2 linked regions of the Tamandua tetradactyla genome follow. The protein of the gene in region 2 interacts with the protein of the main gene of each other region in a pairwise test. Links are inferred from orthologs where the notes say so. Each region holds a gene or a part of one and is shown on either strand. Other genes may lie near its edges.

Region 1 (3,750 bases), on a different chromosome or scaffold from region 2:
CTCAATGCCCAGGCCTGTCTGGAAGGCCCTGCCCTACCCCCAGAAGCTAGTGCACCCCCAGTTCTGAGAAGTGCAGCTTGAACAGGGAGTACGCTGAGCCCCAAGGCTGTCCCGTAGGGCCTGCACAGACTGGCCGGCTATGAGCACCTTGATGGCCTGGTCTGGCTTCTTCAACCTGGTCATCTCATCATCACCGGCACTGACATCCAAGGCTTTAGTCTGAAAGAAGGACTCAGTCTTGGGGCGCTTCTTCTCTGCCACATACAGCAAGTGTGTCTCCGAGTGTGACCATGACAAGCAGCCAAAGCAGTCTGGGTGCAGGAAGGACCAATCAGGAGGAGCCCTGGGCTACGGCTACCCCTCTGGCCCACCCTGCCTGCTCACCAGCCAGTTGCCTCACCATCCTCATACACGGGCCCATGTTTTTCCAGCGCTGACAAGTTGAAGCTCTTGAGCTTCCGGTTTCTCTCCCAGATCTGAGGACATTACAGTGTCAGGCTGCTCCACACCTCAGTGGAGCCCCTATCTTTGGGATTGAGCCCCCAGTTGCTTGAATTTCCCTCCTTGGTACCAGGAAGACTCACCTCCAGGAACTGCTTCTCCTCTCCAGGGCCTGTGCCCCCAGCCTTGCGCAGCACAGCTTTCATGGCACCTGATGGAGACTCTCTGCTCAGGAGCCTGAGGACCCAGGGTAGCAGGTTGGGATCAACTCCTACTCACCAATAGCTCCACCCAGCCCCCTTGCTGGCCACAACCTTTCAAACAAGATACTTGAGGCTTTGGACCCATACCAGCCTCTGTGGCACCGCTGGTCCCACGGGAGAGGGACTTTCCTTTCCCCAACCTCCCCCCTTGTGGGCTCTAGTCCAGCTCTGGGTTTGGAGCGAGCCTCCAGCGCTTATCAGGCCATGTCACCAGAAGCTGCACAACTCCCTGGGGGCCGGAACCTGCTTTGGGCCCCCTTCTGCTTCTGCACCTTTTGCCCACACCCAGGCACATGGGAGGCATTCATAAAAGGCTTGCAAGGCTATGGCCTTGCTCCCAAGCTTCCTCCCTTGCACTTACTCCCCCCGGGTCTCCACGCTGTTGCCTGCAGGCCCCGCAAACACCACTGAGTCCCCATCGTGGAACACGAGGTACTGGCGGCAGAATCGAATATTCTCCATGCGTTCCAGGTCCCTCTGGGTCCACTCTGTGAGGGGAGGTCTGAGGCTGCTCAACTTGACTTGGTCAGTCTTGGCCACAGGTTCCACCCAGGAAGGCCCAGCCCGACCACCCCACATATGTCTCCGGACACCGTGGGTGCAGGCTGGAAAACACTATGCCACAGCCCAAGTCTAGATCTCCAAACTCTGAGCTGATGACCTATAGAAAAGAAACCTCTATTGCCCCCAGCACCTATCCTGGAATCCTGAGGGTGGCCTAGTTTCCCAGTGGATGCCCCTGGTTCACTCATGTCCCATGTGTACTGGTAGGGGAGGCAGCCCTACAAGGCCTATATCCTGCACCCAGGCATGAGTTTTATTCCCCCACCCTATGTACATTCTGGTGCCCCACCTTCATGCACTCATGGGAACCATTCTGTAATGGCCTGGCACAGTGTCCCCATACACCTGTGAGCACAGGGCAGTAACACCCACCCCACCCCCATGCCCACCAAGCTTCGTCTTCCTCCACACACTCGCGTGCACTGTCAGGTGGTGAGCTCTCCACACCCCTGCCCTGTCCACCCGAGGGCACGGACCCGGAGTGTGCCCGCCACCCCGATCCCCCTACACACACAACACACACACCAGTGTGCACCGTCCTGTAGCGGCCCCCGTACTGTGTGGTGACCTCTGGGCCCAGGCAGGCGGCGCTCAGCGCGGGCTGACGACTAAGACCCCGGTACAGCGCCGCCGCCTCCTCGGGCTCGCTCAGCAGCACCTGCGCAGGGGACACAGCGGGGTCAGGCCCGGCCCGGGCGGTAGGGACCGTGGGAACCGCGGGCCGAGCCCTCACCTGCCTCTCCATGGTAGCCTTTCTACCTCCGGGGCGAGGCGGGGCGCGCAGGCTCCAGGAAGTGAGACTTCGGGGGGCGGAGCCTGGAACAGCCAAGCCAGTTTCCGTCACCGCCCAGGGACGATCTGGGAGGGGCGGGACCCACGAAGAACTGGCGGAGACCGCTGCCCGAGAGGCGGGGCTTTCCATTGAGGAGGCGGGGCCTTGAGGAGGCGGGGCCTTGAGGGAGGAGTCTGAGCTTCTGGTACGGAAGGCTCGGAGGGGAGGGGCCGGGCACGTCCAGTAGAGGAGAGGACCCTTTCAGGGGCCGACTAGGTTGGTGAGAGGCGGGGTGTGTGGGCCTGGCGGCGACCCTATAGAAGAAGATTTGGAGGCGGGTCTTCAGAGAGGAGAGAGGTCTGTGAGGCGCGAAAAGGCCTACGTGAGAGGGCCTGCGCGTGAAGGGGATGATTACTGAGTCAAACTAGGCGGTGAGGCGAAAGAAGTGAGGTCGGTTAGGGGTGGGCAGTGCGCAGGCGGAGGGCGGGGCCTGAGAGGATGAGCACCAATGAATCTTTGAAAATGAAGGGCGGGGCAGGAGCTGAGGCCGCAGAGAAATGCGAACCAATGAGACCATGAGGTGGAGGCGGGCATGGAGGGGCTGGGTAGGAGTCGAGGCCTGCCTTAGCGTGGGTCTCCCGCAGTTCTGGGCAGATAGGAGGGTCCCTCCGTGTCCACTACGAGTTCGGCAAATATTCACCGGGAGGGGCTTCCGACATATGGGGAGAGAAGAGCGCAGGTCTGCCACGGGTGGGGCGTGCGGAGCAGACCCCTGGGGTTAGAGACATAGTAGGGCAGGTCCTGACTGTCGGTCTGCCTTCTGCGCTTATCAACCACCAGGCCCGCCTAGAGATCTATCTGTTTCCCCCAGCCCTCACCCGCTCTTCGCACTGGCGCCTTGCTGGGGATATTGAGCTGGTGGGCCTGTGCCTGCCTTCCCAGGTGCCTAGGGCCTCATAGGGTCAGACTCCACCCAGAACCTGAGATCTCCCCCTGGACAGATTTAACTGCCACAGTAGCCGGGCAGAGTTGGAGGAGAGGACAGGCAGCAGCCAGCAGGGATGTCCCCTCTCTCCATCTACCCCACGCCTGGCTGACCTTACACAACTCAGGGTCCTGTCTATCTGTACCCCACCTTGCCTTTGATGGAGACCCTACTAGCCTGGTCTACAGCTCCCCTTTCCTCATCAACCACATCGAACTAGTTAAGTAAAAATTATTCCCACTTTCTGAGGCCACTTACATTTGTGTGCACACAGTGTTTTCAGGACAAAGCCTGACCTGGGAGCAGTTGGTGACCCTGGCCACCAATCTGGATGGAAAGTTGGGAAAGCAGAACATTCATCACAGTATTGTTTATAATTGGAAAACTGGAAACATGGCATCTGTCCCTCAGGGTGTGTGCAGTGTACAGGCTATAAATTCATGGTGCATCTCTCTGGAGGCTGAGCATTGGAGGATGAACATGGAAGTACTTGAAAAGGACATGTAGAAACAAACAGGAGGCTAGAATACAGTGGCTACTGCACCTTTCAGCTTCTGTTTAAAATAAAAAAGAATTGAAGAACACAAACAGGAAGGAATGACAAGCATCAAGATGTTAACTCTTGGGGTGGGTGGGAGAGGGAGGGAAGGGCCTGGGGCTAGGCTGATAATTCATTTTATCTGTATTTTTTAAGTTTTCAAGAACTGGGCAATTTCGATAAGTCC
Region 2 (3,750 bases):
ATATATTTCAAAATTTATAAAATAAAAAATCTTTTTTAAGTACTTGAACTCAATAACAGTTTTCTATTTGAAAACAGATGGATTTCTTGTTTGCTCCAAACTATCACAGAAATTCTTTCCTTCAGTTTCACTTGTCATTTAATTTTCTGATGCGCTGTATAAACACAAGCTGGAAGGCTTGACTAAATAAGGAGACTACGCCACTGAGGGAAGCAATATTATGAATCTCAGCACAATATTATGAATCTCAGCAACTTTGCAGGAACAAAAATCACAACAAACAGTAACAATAACATCATTCTTTTGCACTGTTAAGTTCGTATGTGTTAACTACTTAATGGCTAACTCACGCCAGATTTTGTGCTCCATGACAACTTTTTACCCACAGGATCTTAGTGCCTAACATATTACCTAGTATATGGTATGCTTATGGAGGTATCCAAAGATAATTTCTCAGTTGAATTAGCATACACATATACATAAATATATGCATGCATATAAATATACTGGCAACATGGTTACCATAAATATGGCTTTTTTAGTATTCTACCTTGTCTTTTTAACACATGACACAAGATTTATGTAATTTCAAGTAACATATAGTATTCTTTAGTACTAATACACCATTCTCTGCTAAACCATTCAAGAAAATTATTTAAAGATCAGAGAGCATCTTGTGCTGGTTTTAAACTGTTATGTACCTAGAAAAGGCTATGTGTTTTTTTTCTTAACATGTACAGGCACCAGGAATCGAACACGGCATGGCAGGCAAGAACTCTGCCTGCTGAGCCACCATGAAGGCCATGTTCTTTTAATCTATTCTTGTGCGTGAAGACCTGTTGTGAGTAGGACCTTTTAATTAGGTTGTTTCAATTGAGATGTGACCCCTCCAATTCAAGGTGGATCTTAATCCTTTACTGGAGTCCTTTATGAGAGAGCTCAGAGATAGAAACACTGAGAGAGAGAGCTTAGAGAGAAATGCCCTGTAGATGCTAAAACAGGAACCACAGAAGCTCACAGAGGAGGCCACTGGAACAAATGCTGAAGGCAGTGAAACTGGGGAGCCCAGCAGCTGCTGGCCGTGTGTCTTCCTATGTGACAGAGGTGTCCCAGATACCAGCAGCCTTTCTTTGGAGTCCAGTTATCATCCGGTTGGTGCCTTAATTTGGATATTTTTCTTATGGTCTAAGAACTGTATAAGTTATAAATCTCCATTATAAAAGTCAACCTATTTCATGTATATTGCATTCTGGCACCTTTAGCAAACCAAAACACATCACATTCTTTGAGCCATTGTGATGAATTAATTCAATTCAGATTCCTCTGAAGATCTCTCCTACCCCCAAGATTCTTTTATTTTATGACAAAATCATAATCTAGAAGCTTGCTTCTCACACCTGAGAAGACTATTTTGGACATGACCCTGTAAAACACAAGAGGTAAGCCTGATGAATTTGAACACAAGGGGTCTAGAGAACGAAGAGATTGAGTGCTCTTGGGTGATGCTAGTACTATTGGAAGATTAGTTTAAAGCAAAATGATTCAAGAGGAAATGAATCCATTTAGAGTGGGGAGAATGATGAGAAAAGGTAGATGGTACCTACCATGAAGCTTCTTTGGGAAGTAGACATGTATATAAAAAAATGAGAGTTGTGGTTTTGTCAAGAACACATTCCTGAAGACCTTGCAAAACTTAAAAACTGCATAATCCAAACCTCCATAATCTCATGGAAATAAATGAAAAACAAGAGTGAGTATTTTCAGAGCTCATAAATCTATAACTATTGTGACAAGATATTGCTTTAATATTACTTCTTATTTATCATTATTATCACCAAAGTTTTCAGAGTTCTGGATCTAATCTCAGAGCATGATACATCAAGGGAGTTGTTTAAAGTACTTCATGGTATTTTATTGTGTCTAACTCATGTTCCAAAGTTATTGTTTTGCAGGTGTATTTTCCCAGCAGTGGCAGCACCATTTAATGAGTGCTTGTATGCAATTGTTCCATGGTAAAAAAAAAAAAAAAAAGATTTAAAAATTATAACAAAAGCAAAACATAGCACAGTTACACAATAAACAAAATCACTAGCAGAACTTCCTGTCAACATAGTTCACAGGATTAATAAAAGATGGCAGATTTTTTAAAAACAGTTAATGCTGCCAAGTTAAAAGAGTATATACAGTTTATAATTCATAAGTGTAAAACCATGTTTTTTTACTAGAGATTCTTTAATTTGGCCAACTTATACTATTTCACATTTTGCTTATAAGACCTCATATTTTATGTCACACTATTCCTAAGTTTGCAGCTACACTGAAGCCATATAAATGTGGCTTCATGGGTAAGGAAAGAGGAAGACAAAGATAAATGAAAGACAAATGGATTAATCCAGAAGTGATCCTTCCACTCTTAGAACTCTATGAGTTCTTTGCAAATAATTTGCAACATCTATACCATTGTTTTGAACTGATTTTCACAGCTATCCATATGTTTTTTGGGGGGAAGTGATCTCAAGCACATTGCCATAATCATCCCTTCTCTCCTGCATCATCTGTTTCTCCTGCTCTACTGGATCATTCTTGTAAGTAGTCAATAGCCTGGTTATAAATGTTCAACATTAGGCTCTACAGTGGGAAAAAAAGCCCTACATTGTAGCAGTCACCTATTTCCATGGTGTAAATACACTCTTCCGGCCAACTGCAAGATACCAACAGGACACCACCAAACAAAGAGTTTGGAAGAGTTGTGCACAACTGGCACTTGCAGAGGGGGATTGAGCCAGCTCCAGTATACCCACGAAAGTGCTTTTTATTCAGGTCACAACCCATTAGTGGGTCTTGTAAACAATTAAGTGGATTATGAGCAGCATTTCTTTTTTTTTTTTTTTTTTTTTTTCAGATCTTCTTCCCAACTGCAGCTGGGAAGGGAGGGCTTTTTTTTTTTTTTTTTTTTTTAATTTTTATTTTTATTTTTTTTATTAACGGAAAGAAAAAAAAAAGAAATTAACACAACATTTAGAAATCATACCATTCTACATATGCACTCAGTAATTCTTAACATCATCACATAGATGCATGATCATTGTTTCTTAGTACATTTGCATCGGTTTAGAGGAACTAGCAACACAACAGAAAAAGATATAAAATGTTAATATAAAGAAAAGAAATAAAAGTAGTAGTAATAGTAAAAAACAACAACAAACAAACCAACAAGCAAACAAAAACAAAAAAAACCCTATAGCTAAGATGCAGCTTCATTCAGTATTTTAACATGATTACTTTACAATTAGGTATTATTGTGCTGTCCATTTTTGAGTTTTTGTATCTAGTCCTGTTGCACAGTCTGTATCCCTTCAGCTTCAATTACCCATTGTCTTACCCTGTTTCTAACTCCTGCTGAACTCTGTTACCAATGACATATTTCAAGTTTATTCTCGAATGTCCGTTCACATCAGTGGGACCATACAGTATTTGTCCTTTAGTTTTTGGCTGGATTCACTCAGCATAATATTCTCTAGGTCCATCCATGTTATTACATGGTTCATAAGTTTATCTTGTCTTAAAGCTGCATAATATTCCATCGTATGTATATACCACAGTTTGTTTAGCCACTCTTCTGTTGATGGAGATTTTGGCTGTTTCCATCTCTTTGCAATTGTAAATAACGCTGCTATAAACATTGGTGTGCAAATGTCCGTTTGTGTCTTTGCCCTTAAGTCCTTTGAGTAGATACCTAGCAATGGTATT

Evidence for each region. The genes of interacting proteins can lie anywhere in the genome.
Region 1: the proteins of LGALS8 (region 2) and APEH interact in binary tests that used the Homo sapiens proteins (3 or more experiments, as listed by UniProt). The two-hybrid records come from large-scale screens. The link is inferred for Tamandua tetradactyla from reciprocal best matches to the Homo sapiens genes LGALS8 and APEH.

The regions. Positions count from the first base shown.
Region 1 is NC_135341.1:36,493,478-36,497,227, forward strand, and holds the start of APEH (acylamino-acid-releasing enzyme), read right to left. Parts: upstream 2,190-3,750; 5' UTR 2,014-2,189; coding exon 2,002-2,013; intron 1,927-2,001; coding exon 1,794-1,926; intron 1,193-1,793; coding exon 1,066-1,192; intron 679-1,065; coding exon 585-678; intron 477-584; coding exon 401-476; intron 312-400; coding exon 148-311; intron 1-147. UniProt on the Homo sapiens protein: This enzyme catalyzes the hydrolysis of the N-terminal peptide bond of an N-acetylated peptide to generate an N-acetylated amino acid and a peptide with a free N-terminus. It preferentially cleaves off Ac-Ala, Ac-Met and Ac-Ser.
Region 2 is NC_135333.1:7,145,917-7,149,666, forward strand, and holds the start of LGALS8 (galectin-8), read left to right. Parts: upstream 1-1,361; 5' UTR 1,362-1,439; intron 1,440-2,483; exon of another isoform or gene 2,484-2,585; intron 2,586-3,750.